2 linked regions of the Diceros bicornis minor genome follow. The protein of the gene in region 2 interacts with the protein of the main gene of each other region in a pairwise test. Links are inferred from orthologs where the notes say so. Each region holds a gene or a part of one and is shown on either strand. Other genes may lie near its edges.

Evidence for each region. The genes of interacting proteins can lie anywhere in the genome.
Region 1: the proteins of TRIP6 (region 2) and METTL17 interact in binary tests that used the Homo sapiens proteins (3 or more experiments, as listed by UniProt). The link is inferred for Diceros bicornis minor from reciprocal best matches to the Homo sapiens genes TRIP6 and METTL17.

The regions. Positions count from the first base shown.
Region 1 is NC_080744.1:28,280,929-28,288,761, forward strand, and holds the start of METTL17 (methyltransferase-like protein 17, mitochondrial), read right to left. Parts: upstream 3,006-7,833; 5' UTR 2,980-3,005; coding exon 2,899-2,979; intron 2,764-2,898; coding exon 2,610-2,763; intron 2,523-2,609; coding exon 2,388-2,522; intron 1,486-2,387; coding exon 1,404-1,485; intron 1,146-1,403; coding exon 1,064-1,145; intron 741-1,063; coding exon 667-740; intron 221-666; coding exon 126-220; intron 1-125. UniProt on the Homo sapiens protein: Mitochondrial ribosome (mitoribosome) assembly factor. Binds at the interface of the head and body domains of the mitochondrial small ribosomal subunit (mt-SSU), occluding the mRNA channel and preventing compaction of the head domain towards the body.
Region 2 is NC_080765.1:5,033,894-5,041,240, reverse strand, and holds the start of TRIP6 (thyroid receptor-interacting protein 6), read left to right. Parts: upstream 1-4,330; 5' UTR 4,331-4,700; coding exon 4,701-4,809; intron 4,810-5,086; coding exon 5,087-5,214; intron 5,215-5,299; coding exon 5,300-5,425; intron 5,426-5,709; coding exon 5,710-6,093; intron 6,094-6,413; coding exon 6,414-6,507; intron 6,508-6,622; coding exon 6,623-6,792; intron 6,793-7,219; coding exon 7,220-7,347. Other genes in the region: SLC12A9 (solute carrier family 12 member 9), read left to right, coding at 139-331, 503-677, 882-1,028, 2,971-3,860. UniProt on the Homo sapiens protein: Relays signals from the cell surface to the nucleus to weaken adherens junction and promote actin cytoskeleton reorganization and cell invasiveness. Involved in lysophosphatidic acid-induced cell adhesion and migration.

The DNA.
Region 1 (7,833 bases), on a different chromosome or scaffold from region 2:
AGATCAGATTCATCTTTAACTTTTAGCCCTCTCCTCTACTCCCCAATAAAACACCCTTTCTAGGACTCCTTTGCTTTCTTAGCTCCTTCAACTTTGGAAAAGCCCTTCTTATACCTTGTCCTCACCTTTCAGTAGCTTTTCTGCCAAATCCAACATGGCAGCTGAGCTGTCCACACACATATATTCACGTAGGCTCTGGCCCCAAGTACTATGAGCAGCCCTAAGATGGCAAAATATAAATCGCCAATTCTCATGACAATGAGTCATCCCTACAAGAGACCACTCCACCTCCAACCCCACCCCTGCTGAAACAGAGTGTTATGTTAAAATAGTTGGAAAAACTAACAATTTTCGTTTATAACTCCTTAAAAAAAAAAAGGCAGACTGAAAAAACTACTTGTAGGCAAAAAATTTTGATGATATGTAAAACCTACACCCTAGACTAAATTCTTTTCCTTTTTTATCTTTCTAAACATGCGTCTTTTTTACTTGACATTTCTTTTAAGCTCTGGCCCTAATCCATAATCTTACGCCTTGCCTAACATGAGGCAAGAAACATTCTAGTTCCCAACTTTCCTATTCTCCCTCTGGTTCCACAGTGTCTTGATACTGAAGTGGTGTAGGCATGGCTCTCCAGAGCTAGAATTGACAGAGAAAGATACTCACCAGGTGACAGAACCAGTACCCGAACCAAAGTCCATCAAGGTTTGTGGTTGGAACTCTGGAATTCGGGCCCGGATCTGAAGAAATATATAACACCCCACATTAGGGTAAATAGACACTTATTTAGAGCCTTGGTGAATATGAATTAGGGGACTACGATAGAGGAGATGCGACGTGAACGTGTTTTGAGATTCAATGTAAATACTTTATAGGATAGGAAGCTCCTAAAAGAGTGATTCTAAATCTTTCTTGGGTCACAAATCTTTTCAGAGGATAAAGAGGGCCTCTTTAAAGAAAGAAATGGACATGCAATGTCCCAAGAATCCTATCCCAGGAGACTACTTTATGAATCACGGAACTGATGGTAAAAGGGTTCAGGTTGAAGTTGAGGGACTTTCACCTCATGGAATGCCCTGGAGACTGCTGCAAAGCCACCATCCAGTCTTGCTGCCATGTACACCAGGCTCAGTCCCTCATTGTAGCTGCCAGGAAAATCAGAGAGTCATACCCACTGGAAAATAACTATCTATCCCATAGCTATCTTCTAGACTTTTAGGAAACGAAATCTTTGGAAAGGGCTCTTCCAATTCAACACTTTCACTCCTCAACAGAGAAGATTCTTGGGGAGCCTTACAAACCAGACAGCTTTTTCAAACACTAAACTGTGTAACTGTACTTCCCCAACTCTCCTTCTGAAGTCAAACTTTTCTTTCTTCTACAGCCCTTCTAGTCCCCCTTACCTCAGTTCTCGCCAGTGGTAGGTAGTTCTGCGCAGGGCATGCAGCACTGCTCCACAAAGTTTCTCCTCTGTCTGAGATGAGTCTGGGGTGAGAACAAGGACTGGAAGTGAGGACCTAGGAAGAACAGGGCTCAGATCCAGTATCTGAATATACTGCCTGCCCATTCCTCCCCAACTCCCACCAGGGAAAGCCTCAAAGCTTAGGAGAGAAGCCAAACCTAGAGAAAAAGTTCAGGTAAGAATAACGATGACTACCACCACCAACAGATTGCATCAGATAGTATTTTACCTCTACCAGCAGTTTATTCAACTCCATCAACCCTATCCCACAGGTTTTGTTCTTTATTCAAGGGAAGTATGGTAAAGAATCAAAGGATTGGATAAGGACAATATATTGTGGATTTCCTCCTTTCTCCCACACTTAAGATTGTGATGTCTCCAATGTTCCTATAGGGAGGAAAGGGGCTTGAAAATCTTAAGCCTCATGACCGTGTTCAGTTCAGTACTATTTTATCTACTGAGCACCTACTATGAACCAGGCACTGTGGGAAGTGCAGGGAATACAAGACGAAGAAAAAGTAGGTCTGTAATATGCAGGAGCTCACAATCATGAAAATAACTTGACAAATTATACTTAGTATTCTCCTATCCCTGAAGAGGGTTCCAGTACTGGACAGGGAGCCAAACAGGGACTTTATTTCACTTGAATAAAAACTTAGACGGTCCTAATCCAGCGGACTTGGAGGACACAAATAAACATCTAGATTTCAACAGGATACTGAAGCACTCGCTGACCTTTACCAAAGCCCCAAGGGCAATCTCTGAAATAATCTTTCTTCTCTTGATAAGACGTCATTGTAATAACTGCTCTGGCCAGAAAGTCAAGCAAGAAAACGCAGTATCTATTTGAGAGACGGTAATATTATTTCTTGCTCTTCACTTCTCACCGATATTTCAATTTGGCCTCTTTATTCTTAAGCCCTACCTGGGTTTTCCAAGAATTTTTTCTCAAGATGTACAGCCCGTCTTTGCAACTCCTCTGGCTCTATAGGTAAATGCCGGCTCCAGAGATAATTGGTCAGTGCTTGCACCTGCTTCTCCACATTGGGCATAGACCTCTCTACGGGCGAAAGATGAAAAGCGGCATCACTCGCGGGCAGCCCCAGTCTCCGCCTCTTCTCGAGCCTCCCTTTCCACCGTCACTCACCGAGCAGCAGTAACTGCGCGGCGTCAGCCAGGGCTTGCGGCAGCCGCACGCGCGGCAGCTGCAGGATGCCAGGGTGCCGGCGATGGGGCCTCTTCCCCAGAAAATCGGACTTGTTATCCACCTGGGATACGCCGGGCACGAGGGCGGCGAGAGCCTGCAGCCCGGGAAAAGAAAGCTGACTGCGAGGGGCAGAAGGCAAGGTTCTGGGCGTTCGCTTAGAGAGGAGCTGCCGAGAGCGCCTCCCAGAGATCCAGCGTCCCTCCGAGAACAGGGAAAAGCAGGCACTCACGCGAGACTGGGGAAGTACTCCAAGGCCGCGGCGCCATCTGCCTAATGTCTGCAGATACTTCAGTTCCAACGCGGTCGCCATGGCTCCCGAGGCGACCCGGAAACGGAAATGTAGGTGCCTGTGACCCTCGCGGGGACCATGCCCTGCGGAACAGCGGCACCGGGCAGTATTAGCCAATGAAGAGAGCCAGTGCTTGCTGGTAGCCAATAAACAATAGATATGTAAATCACCTTGCAGAGTAACTGTACATGGATCGGACTTGGACCTCGGTTCCCACGTAACTAGTCGCAAGCGAGGTGGCGTCGCGGCTGCGTTGGGACTGGTCTCCGGGTCCAGACATCGAGGGGGCGGGGCGGGGCGGGGTGGGGAAGGGCCCTTTCCTGGAGTCTCTAGAAAGGCGCCTTAGACAGGCAAAGACTATTTCTGGGTGTAATAATTACCTGAGCTCCTTGCTTTCACTACGGAGAACTCTGAAGCCTTGGAGTTTTTTTTCCCTTTGTGTAAAGAGTAGAATGGAGTAACGGAAAGATGAGATATGAAAAACCAGATTTAGGTGACCGAAGATAACAGAGATTTATAGTTAATAGAGTTAATGTTTTTTACATGTTAGTTTGTCTTCATATTAAACCGGCCCTCTTTGATAAATAGCTGACACTTAGAGCATTATGTGCCAGATACTGTGGCACGCACTTTTACGCAATATTACTCCATTTAGTCCCCACAATCCTATGAGGTAGATTCTGTTGTTAACCCCATTTTGCAGCTGAGAAAAGTGAGTCCTCAGGTGGTTAAATATCACGCCCAAGATCACAAAGCTTGTTAGGTGACAACTAGGTTTAAACCTAGGCAGTCTGAGTCTGAGCTTCACTTTTAAACATAAGTCCTACCTCACATTGTTGCTCCTTGGAATGCAAGTTAGCAAGTTAACTAAGAACAATATGCTAAATGTTCTGAAGTGTTCAGTTACCGTGTAGCATTAAAACAAACTCACTGTGTTGTAACCTGTTGATTCCTATAGCAAACACATTAGTCAACTCTGGTATATCTTAACCTTTTGAGATAGAAATCTGTTGGCTGGAAGGATAGAAGTGTTGTTGCCTTTGCTGTAACTGAAAGAGTCCAGATATGATAATTATAGATAGAATATGGGGAACTGTATCATTTGGAGAGTTAAATGTCTGGTTTGCATTTAGGTTATTAAGCTTTGATTCTAATAAAGGAGGTCTTTGCTTTATAATCTGAATACTCTGGAAGGAGACTTGAGGGGTGCTTAGGACAACTGTTGTAAATTCCCTACTCACTGCTCTCCTCCCTTTCAGGTTCACCTTCTTCATTTTGTTTCCCCACGCTTTGATTCACAGTGCTACACTTAGCCTCATGTCTGTGACACTTTGCTTTTACTTTAAATTGCTGGCTCAAGTATTAGCAAAATAAAATATCCCTGTCACTGTAGGTTAGCTGTAGCATAAGATTGGCTATGTTATTTTTTGTCATAGGGAGGTAGCAGAACATAGGGATAAGATGCTTGGCACCTGGAATCTGGCAGTTTGAATTTGAATTCTAGAGCAGCAAGATAATAATAGTTGCTACCTCATAGGGTTATTGGAATGATGATTTCATGAGCTAATGTCTGGCCCAAAGTAAATGCTCAATATATTTATGATATTGTTATCATATATGTGATCATGTATTTTGGGAACTTGAAGGGACATAATCACATTTTTATTTATTTATTTATTTTATTTATTTATTTTTTTCCCCCAAAGCCCCAGTAGATAGTTGTATGTCATAGCTGCACATCCTTCTAGTTGCTGTATGTGGGACGCAGCCTCAGCATGGCCAGAGAAGCGGTGCGTCGGTGTGCACCTGGGATCCAAACCTGGGCCGCCAGCAGCGGAGCGCGCTCACTTAACCGCTAAGCCTCGGGGCTGGCCCCACATTTTAATTTTTATTATAAATTTATGTTTTATTTCCAAGACAGACTTGAAAGTGGGGATATTTGGGGCCAAGTAAGACTGAGCAGTGGAGACTGAGGAGTAAGGAGCAGGAGAACTTGGGTGGTGCCTCTGAATGTCCGTCTTGTTTTTCCCATCAAGCTGCCAACATAGCTGTGGCCTCCTTCATTCTAGCACTGGCCTAATTGGGATTGTTCTCTTCCTTTGGTAATACAACATCTCAAAAGCTGACTTAGACCTAATTTTAAGTGTCTTTGTTCTTAATCCAAAGTATTGTTCATAAAAACAAAAGAAAACAAAAACGTCCACACCATCTTCCTCATAGATCAAAGATGTCCTCAAGACATCTAAAACAGTGAACACAATTCTTGGTGCATTGAAAATGCTTAATCAATATTTGTTGATTATGTTGATAAAATGACCCCTCTTTGTTTTCATGCTTGGAAAAGGTCAGCAGAATAGACTAGTTTGAGGATCTGAGTCTAATCGTTTGACCAGGTCACAATTCCCCAAATGCATAGATGAGCCCATTTCACACCTAATCCGTGAATTCTGCCATGTTAGCATTGGTCATACCTTGACTTGGGTAGTATTTCCAATTAGTGGCTCTACGTTAAAAGAAACAGACATAAATGTGGAGAAAATAGACAATATTAAGAGAAATAACCCCCACCCCCAAATTAAGTAAGGGAAAATAAAAAAGATTCTCTGAGGAAGATTTGGATAATCTGGTTGGAGATGGATGATGACCAACTGGTTTTCTCCACTGAGTTCATGAAAAAGGGAAATAACTAATAATTAGATTCAGAGAAACTCTCAACAATGAAGGTGTAAAGCAACTGCAATAAGTTTCTTGGGAAATTAAAGAAATTCTGCCATCAAAGATCCCAAATAGTATCCTTTTTATCTCCTGCTTCATTTCTTTTTGTTATTTTCCTTTTTTTAAATCTTCTATTCTCTTATGGCATTATGTTGTGTTTGTGTTGGTGTATTTTCTAGGTTGGTCTTTATCTTCTTTTTTTTTTTTTGTGAGGAAGACCAGCCCTAAGCTAACATCCAATGCCAATCTTCCTCTTTTTTTTTTGCTGAGGAAGACTGGCCCTGGGCTAACATCCATGCCCATCTTCCTCCACTTTATATGGGATGCCGCCACCGCATGGCTTGACAAGCGGTGTGTTGGTGCATGCCCGGGATCTGAACCTGTGAACCCTGGGCCGCTGCAGCGAGCGTGCGCACTTAACCGCTGCGCCACCAGGCTGGCCCCCAGTCTTTATCTTCTAAAGGATTTTACTTTTATTTGTAACTTCTCCTGAATGTGTCACCTTTTTTTCTGAGTTTTTTTCTAATTTTGATGCTTATTGTTCTTTCATGTCTTGGATTATTTTCTTAGCTTTTTTTGAAACCATGGATTACAGTTTTAATCTGTTTTGTGGACATGTCTGTGTTAGTTTAGGTTCTTGGCGAAGCAGACATTAAGATGGGATTCGATTTGTAAGACACGTATTGGGCGAAATGCCTGTGAGGGGGAAAGAGAGGGGGAGAAGAAGAGATAGGAAGAGCTGTCAGACTGTGAAGCAGGTCTGACCTCTGTGAAAGACAGAGGGAACGAAAACACGTTGGATAGGCACAGTTCTAAAAAAGTTTCAACCAGGCTGATGGAGAGTCTTTGAGCCCAAGGTGGCTGTTGGAGGAGTCTTGCATCTCTTGGAAATGGGCCTGACTTAGTATCTCTGCTGCACTCAGTCATCTTTTAAGAGCAGCCCATGGGAGGCAGAGCAGATTCACCAGTGTGGCAGTTAGGGCCATTGGTCAGTTATGATCCCCCCAGCAGGAGATCTGAATAGTGCATTTTCATAGCTGCCCTAAAGCCACACAAATCTACTTCTCCAGATAGGTTCAAGGGACAATTCCTTCAAGCTTCATATGGGCTTCTGTTCCTGAAGGGAAATATAGAAGAAGGAGGTTAGTGGGACAAACTATAGCCACTGTCACTGCATTTGATCCCAGGGCTGTAACTGGCACCCATCCTCTCCCTCCTTTACTATCCATTCTAATTTCCTCTTACCCTCAGCTATCATGTCATTATGTCTTAGTGACTTATCTGGTGTTGTGACCCAAACCTTCCTTCTTGAGGGGTCTAAACCCTTGATAGTCATATCTTTCTCTGGCTAAGGTTGCTACAAATGTACATTCACAGTTACAGTGGAGCATGGGAATTCCAGGAAGCACCCAAGTAGATCACTTGGGTTCCACATGAATTCCTCTCTGCCCCCATTGTGTAAAAGCAGCCTGCCTCCTCCTGCTGATTAGGGTTACTTAGCCCTGACATATGGTAACTCCTCTTTTCATCTGCTGGTCCCTAGACCCAAGAAATCCAAAGTGTCCTGGCAGCAGTTATAGACTGTAGTTCAATGGGAGCCTTGATATGTCACCTGGCAAGAGAGCATCCCCTTTGGGGACCTAGACCTTTGACTCAGCAGAGCCCAGAGTTACAGAGATGAAAGCACAGATTTTTCCAGTGGGTCAATGGTAGTGACGGTAAGTGGAGCCATTCCTGCCTCTACTCTTTGGTTGCTGAGTCATGTATTCTTCCTATTGGGGACACAGTACTATTCAGAGGTCTCTGGTTTAATAAATACACTGCATCCTGAAATGTGGTACTCCTTCCTTTCAGAATGTTGCCTCTGAGCTGTTGCTTCAGCTGTGTCTTCAGAAAGCCAGTCTGTCTCTCTCCCTACCTCCCTTTGTCCCTCCCTCCTTTCTTTCCCTCCTTCTCCACCTCCTCCTCCTCCTTCTTCTCCTTATTTTCTCTTTCTCTCTCTCTCTGAGCTGGAGCAGCCTGCTCCTTCTCCTTTGTTCTGAAGTAAACACCAATCAACTTTTCCCATTAGTCCTCTACATTCTTCCAGAGGTCATTGATATTATTGATGTACCTTCAACAGAAATTAGGAGAGTGCTTCTGAACTGTGATTAAATAGAA
Region 2 (7,347 bases):
AGAATAAGATGCCTGTGTCCCCAGAGAAAAAGAGAAAGGAATGGGAAGGACACGGACGAGAGGGCGAGGCTGGGGTTGGAGTGGAGTGGCATGGTGTTCAGGCCCTGAGTTTCCTTCCTTCTCTCCGTCCACTCCCAGCCCCACCTTCAGCCTGTTCTCCTGGCACACCTGCTTGCTGGGGGTGGCCTCCTGTCTGCTCATGATGTTTCTTATCAGCCCCGGGGCTGCTGGCGGCTCCCTGCTTCTCATGGGCCTGCTTTCCGCCCTGCTCACGGCTCGAGGAGGCCCCAGCAGCTGGGGCTACGTCAGCCAGGCGTTGCTTTTCCACCAGGTCAAGGGGGCTTGGAGGAGGGTGGGGAGGGGAGGAGGCAGTCTGGGAATGCCCACCCCTGAAGGAGGCCTCCCATTCCCTTGGCTGGAGCTGGGGTTCCTGTCTGAGAAGTGTTGAGTGGGGGCCGCCTGCTTGAGCCCTTCCTCCCCACCACCCCACTCCTGTCCCCAGGTGCGTAAGTACCTGCTCCGGCTGGATGTCCGGAAGGATCACGTGAAGTTCTGGCGGCCCCAGCTGCTGCTCCTGGTGGGGAACCCCCGGGGTGCCCTGCCTCTGCTGCGGTTGGCCAACCAGCTCAAGAAGGGGGGCCTCTACGTGCTGGGCCACGTCACCCTGGGAGACCTCGGTGAGTTGCCCCCCACTCCTCTTCTCCCTCTCAGTCTCAGACGCTCTTTGGGTTCTGTGTCCCAGAGGCTCGTGGTTCTTCCCGAACGATCCTTCCAGCCAGCCTCAGCCCTGCCTAGACCTTTTTCTTCTGCCCATTTGGGATTTGAACTCTAGGAGAAAGTACATGAGTTTGGCCCACATTTGCTGCCTGCCTTCCCCGCAGACTGCCTGCCCTCGGACCCTGTGCAGCCGCAGTACGGGGCATGGCTGAGCCTGGTGGACCGGGCCCAAGTGAAGGCCTTCGTGGACCTCACCCTCTCGCCCTCCGTGCGCCAGGGAGCTCAGCATCTGCTGCGGATCTCGGGCCTTGGTGAGCTGCTCCTTCCCCCGGCCCCCTAGGGCCTCTGTGTGGCCCCTTTCAATCTGTTCCCCTCCCCCAGAGAATAAACCACAGATTGCAGACTCCAAAAGGTACTCACTGTCGAGTGCAGATAAGACACAGCCTCAAAGCTAACAGACAGTGTGTGATAAAACCTCAGAGGAGATGCTTAAGGACTCAAGATGGGGCAACTGTTATTTTTTTCTGATCCAAAAATTGGGGCACAGGCTCTGAAGAGCATGTTGTATTTCTGGGGACAATGGGAGAATTATTTGAGCCTGGGGGCTGCCCCATCAAATCTAGGACAGAAGGTTTCTAACCACCCGAGTTCAGAGAAAGGAAGCTCACCATGTGCTGACGTGGCCAGCAAAGGTTTTGTGACAAGATGGTGTCTCAGCTGGGCCTTAGAAGGGGTGGAGAAGTAGAGAGTGATGTAACATGGCCCCCAGAGACCACAGAGGATGTGGGGGATGCATGGGGCTGATGCGTTTGGATGGAGTGGAGGATTCCCAGCTTTGTGACTGCGTCTTAGTACTGAGGCCTCCCACCTTGCACCCAGGCTTCCTCCAGATCTGTGCTTAGCTGCCTCCTTCTCTCTTAATCCCTCTCTGAGTGCATGCTGCCTTCTCCATTTAGAATCTGGCTAAAGTTCAAGTGTTGGACATTGCCCTGTTCGGTGTAAATCAGAACCGTGGAAAATGCTCAGGAGGGGGTATAACTAGCTTACTTTGCAAGATCAGCTGGAGTTCACACCTGCTGAGGTGTTTTGGGTTGTTTTCCAGCATTATTAGACAGACCCTGGAGCACCTGAAGGCCTGGTCTCTCCTCAGCCCCACCTTTTTTGGGGAAACCTGTGCAAACAAACCACTACTTTCATGAAATGTATCCTGTGGGAAACGATTCAAATAAAACAGAAAAGGTTTTCTCTAAATAGTAAATTTGCCTGGCAAGTAAAATTTGATTTCCTGGTAGATTTTAAGCAACCCATTTGTTTCACGAGAAGGAGTCTCAGAAGAGGTCTCAGCACCTTCTTGTACATGCAGCCCTTTAAAGAGGGAATTATCTGATTCCATATAGGTTATCCAAAAATTAAAAACCAGCGGCTGCTGGCAGGGACTGGGGCATTGTGGTTGGTACACACACCAGCTTAGAGGCTCAGAGAGTGTGTTCTGGTGCTGGGCACATTGTGCTCACCTGCCGACCCCATATTTACCAGCCCTGAGCCCTTGGGCAAGTGACTTCACCGCTCTGTGCCTTATCTGTAGAAGGGGTTGAAGTAAATAGTCCCTACCTCGTGGCGTTGCTTCAAGGATCAGATGAGTTAAAACACGAAGTGCTTTCTTTCAACAGCATGTGGCCCCCGGTTAGTGGGCAGATGTTAACTGTCTCTTCTCTGGGGACGGTGCTTTGGACCCACCATCATTAGGGCTTTGCAGTCATGGAAGCATTGTGCAGCCCCAGCCCGAGTTCTCATCCTTCCCCAGCAGAATCCGGGTGCTGTCTCCCTGGGGATTGAGGCCATGAGCTTGACTAATCAGGGGGTCTGGTCTGCCCCCGGGAGTCAAACTCATCTCCCATCATGAAAAAGGTGTGCTGGGAGAAGCTTGGAGCAAATGCATCTGACTGCCATGGACCGGAAGTGCTCATTAGTTAAAAGAATCCCAAGGTGGCCTCTGCTTATTTAAGTGGGGGAGATTAGTCATGGAGGTAAATCGAATAAATGCATGTGCAAGTGTTTGGGAAAATGAAAAGTCATCATGCAAATGTGCATAATGTTGCCTTAAGAGACCAGGCCCGGTGCGAATCTCATACCTGACGGCTGACACATTTCCTTGTCAGCGTGTAGGAGTGGGCAGGGATGAGCGTGGGGCAGTCTCTGCCTGTGAGTGTGACTCCTGTTGGTTCCTTCCCTCCTCCCCCTATCTGCCCCCAGGTGGCATGAAGCCCAACACACTGGTCCTGGGTTTCTATGATGATGCTGCACCGCAGGACCACTTCCTGACAGACCCGGCTTTCTCTGAGCCTGCAGGTGGCACCCAGGAGGGCGGGACCCCAGCCTTGAGCACCCTGTTCCCTCCTCCCCGGGCTCCTGGGAGCCCTCGGGCTCTCACTCCCCAGGACTATGTGGCCACGGTGGCAGATGCCCTCAAGATGAACAAGAATGTGGTCCTGGCCCGGGCCTGTGGCGCCCTGCCCCCTGAGCGGCTGAGCCGGGGGTCTGGGGGCACCTCTCAGCCGCATCACGTGGACGTGTGGCCCCTCAACCTGCTGCGGCCCCGGGGTGGGCCTGGCTATGTAGACGTCTGCGGCCTTTTCCTGCTGCAGATGGCAACCATCTTGGGCATGGTGCCTGCTTGGCACAGTGCCCGGCTCCGGATCTTCTTGTGCCTGGGGCCTCGGGAGGCCCCTGGGGCGGCCGAGGGGCGGCTCAGGGCACTGCTGAGCCAGCTGAGGATCCGGGCTGAGGTGCAGGAGGTAGTGTGGGGCGAGGGGGCTGGGTCCGGGCAGCCTGAGGAGGAGGAGGAAGGGGACTTCGTGAACAGTGGGCGGGGAGACGCGGAGGCAGAGGCCCTGGCATGCAGCGCCAACGCCCTGGTTCGGGCCCAGCAGGCGCATGGCAGAGGAGGAGGGCCAGGTGGGCCTGAGGGTGGGAATGGTGTGGAGGGGCCTGCCACTGCCCTCACCTTCCTGTACCTGCCTCGGCCGCCTGCTGATTCTGCCCGATACCCCCGATACCTGGCGCTCCTGGAGATTCTGAGCCGTGATCTGGGCCCCACGCTGCTCATTCATGGCGTCACCCCCGTCACTTGTACTGATCTCTGATGCCCCATCCCTAAAGCAGAGGGTGCCCAGGCCGGGAGGCCCACCTTGAGTAGCAGATGAGGAGGAGAAGGGCCGCCTCCCCGCCTGCCCCACACGTGGTACACGGAGCCAGGTGGAGGTATTAGGTGATCCTGATCTGCGGCATCTGCTGTCTCTGGGAGAGGGGCCCTGGTGCACGCGTGCAGGGCAGCTGTCTGGCCACGTCAGCCTCCCTCCCTTCACCGGTGCCTTGTCCGGGGCTGGGTCTCCGCTCGTGACTTCAGGCTACCTCAGTCTCCCCCTCACCCAACAGACTCACTGACCCCTGAGGTTGTGATATTTGTGTTCTGTTTTATTTTTCTAACTGCTGAACGTGAATAAAAGACCAAAACACTACGGGCTGGCGGAGCACTGCTGGGGGGTGGGTAGATGGGACGGGAGGAGGGAGACATCTGTATGGGGGGATGTGGGAAAGAGGAGCGCCAGAGCGTCCCAGCGTCGAGGTGGCCATGGGCAGGACCTGGGGCGCGGGGCGCAGGGCCTGGGGGACTCGGGGAAATGGAGGCTGCCTGCAGCCTCCCAGACGCCGGCTCCGCGGAAAGCCCTCCCCGCTCAGCAGGAGGGGGCTGACTAGGGAGGGACAGCAGTTTAGGGCCTAGGGGGCCACGTGACCCTCCCCCAGGAATGCGATGATGTCACAGGGGGCGTGGCCATCCCCAAAATTGGGGAGGAAGAGGAAAAAAAGCCAGAAAAAGTTTCTTTCCTGGAGTCCCAAACGAGGGACGGAAGAAGGGGTCAAGGCCAGAGGCTCAGGGCTCCGTGAGGCCCTGACCGCGGTCTGGAGGTCCCCCGTTCCAGGCCATGTCGGGGCCCACCTGGCTCCCCCCGAAGCAGCTGGAGCCCGTCAGAGCCCCTCAGGGGAGAGTGCTCCCCCGGGGCGCCCCGGGGCCGCCACCAGCCCCCGGAGCAGGTAAGGCAGTCCCCAGTGGGCCCAGGAGGCCACCTCTGCCCTGAGGCTCCTGCCTCCTGCCCAGCCTGCCCAGCCGCCCCTTCCCCGGAGCCAGGCTGGGACTAGCCGCCCCTGCCCTCTCGCAGCCCTCCCCACCTCCTGTCCCATTCTCGGAGCCCAGGTGCGGGAGGGGGGGGGTGAGGGGGAGGGGAGACGAGGGACCTAAGAGGGCGTCCTCCACAAGTGTCACCCTCGTCTCCTTCCCCATCTACCCTTCCTCTCTCTTCCCTCACCGCAGCACTCCAGTCCCACCCCAGGGTCAATTTTTGCCGTCTCCCATCTGAGCAGTGTTACCAGGCCCCAGGGGGACCAGAGGATCGGGGGCTGGCCTGGGTGGGGTGCCATGGAGCACCCCAGCGTTCACAGGTGAGAACCGGGATGGGGGGGTGAGGGCAGGGCAGGAGAAGAGGGCCGTGTGATTTGCTTCTCCCTGCTTCTGCTCCATCCTCAGGGGCTCCCCCCAGACAGAGGGGGCTTGCGCCCAGGAAGTCTGGATGCTGAGATAGATTCGCTGACCAGCATGCTGGCTGAGCTGGATGGGGGTCGTGGTCATGCCCCACGGCAGCCTGACCGGCAGGTGACCCCCTGTCCTGCCCCGTCCCTCCTCTGCTCCCTGTCCCCTGTCCCCCCACCCGCCCCCCTAGCCTGGTCCCTTCTCTGGATTCTCAACCCAGTCCACCCCTCACCTCTACCTTGTGGAAGAAGCTGGGCCACCAGAGCTTGCTAGGTTGTCAGCCACTTGAAGGCGGGCCGTTGTCAAAAACCAGCACTTACCTGGGTGCCACACACATGGGTGGGGCATTTCCACAGGTGTGTGTCCTGAATGGGCCCAGCTCACTCCTGGTCTGCGTTTCTCCTCAGGCTTATGAGCCCCCTCAGCCCCCTGCCTACCGCGTGGGCTCCCTGAAGCCGAATGGAGGGGGTGTTCCTTCCCCACCGCTCCCAGCATCCACTTACGGGGGCCCCACTCCGGCCTCCTACACAACAGCAAGCACGCCCGCCGGCCCTGCCTTCCCTGTGCAAGTGAAGGTGGCACAACCAGTGAAAGGCTGTGGCCCCCCCAGGCGGGGGGCCTCTCAGGCCTCCGGGTCCCTGCCGGGCCCCCACTTTCCTCTCCCAGGCCGAGGTGAAGTCTGGGGGCCTGGCTATAGGAGCCACCGAGAGCCAGGGCCGGGAAGTGAAGAGGAGGCTGCCGGGGTCTCTGGCCATGCAGGAGGAGGAAGAGGAGGCGGGTATGGGCCCCCGGTAAGCACCGTGTATGGGGTTTGGGGTCCTCACAGACAACTGGACACTGATTGGGCGGGGTGAGGAGTGGTGTTTAATGTCCTGGTTGTCAGAGGTCTGAGGTGTCGGAGCTCTAGATCCCCGGAGAGTGTGGGCAGGTCAGGAAGTACAGGACGGAGGGGACTGGAGCTGTACCCTGGCTCCCCGAGGTGTGCCGCCTGGACGCTGGGCTGAGACGTTCTCAGATGAGCTTTCTGGGCAGAACTGCCTGGTCACCCTCAGCGATTTTCACAGGGTCAGGAGCTAGAGGTAGGGCCGAACCCCTGATTCTCACTTCCCAGGTGCCCCTGAGCCAGCCTCCCGAGGAGGAGCTTGAGAGGCTGACCAAGAAGCTGGTGCATGACATGAACCACCCGCCCAGCGGGGAGTACTTCGGTGAGCTGACCCCACCGGTGGGGTGGGAAGGGGGAGGTGGGGCTAGAGAGTCAGAGGGACAGCCGATCCAGCTTCCTAGCTTGTGCAGATTGACCCTGTCCCTCCCTGTCCCCAGGCCGGTGTGGCGGCTGCGGAGAAGATGTGGTTGGGGATGGGGCTGGGGTTGTGGCCCTGGACCGCGTCTTTCACGTTGGCTGCTTTGTGTGTTCTACGTGCCGGGCCCATCTTCGGGGCCAGCATTTCTATGCTGTGGAGAGGAGGGCATATTGTGAGAGCTGCTACGTGGTGAGTGGTTGGGGTGGGGGGCTTCCATCCAAGGTGGGAACTAGATGTCCAAGCCCCAAAGAGGAACAGGACTCGAAGGTAGGGGACTAAAACTGATGTACAAGAAGAATGGAGGACTTAAGTAGCTAAATACTGCCTGCTGGAGGGAAGGACCACAGTCCCTTTACAAGTGTGAGGCATTTATTTTAGAGTTAAGGAAAGTGTTAAATTCCCACCATACCCCTGTGAGGCAGATATTACTACTGAAGGAAACTGAAGCTCAGAGTGGTTAAATAACTTGTCCATGAAGCTGCATTGCTGAGACTTGCCACCTTTCACTGAATCGCACGCAGGTGGATACACGAACAGATGGTTGGGCTGGCAGGATGCTTGTGGGGCTGCCATGGGTCACCCCAGCCCTCAACCTTCCTCCCTTCCTTCCCAACAGGCCACCCTGGAGAAGTGCTCCACATGCTCCCAACCCATCCTAGACCGGATCCTGCGGGCTATGGGGAAGGCCTACCATCCTGGCTGCTTCACCTGTGTGGTGTGCCACCGCGGCCTCGATGGCATCCC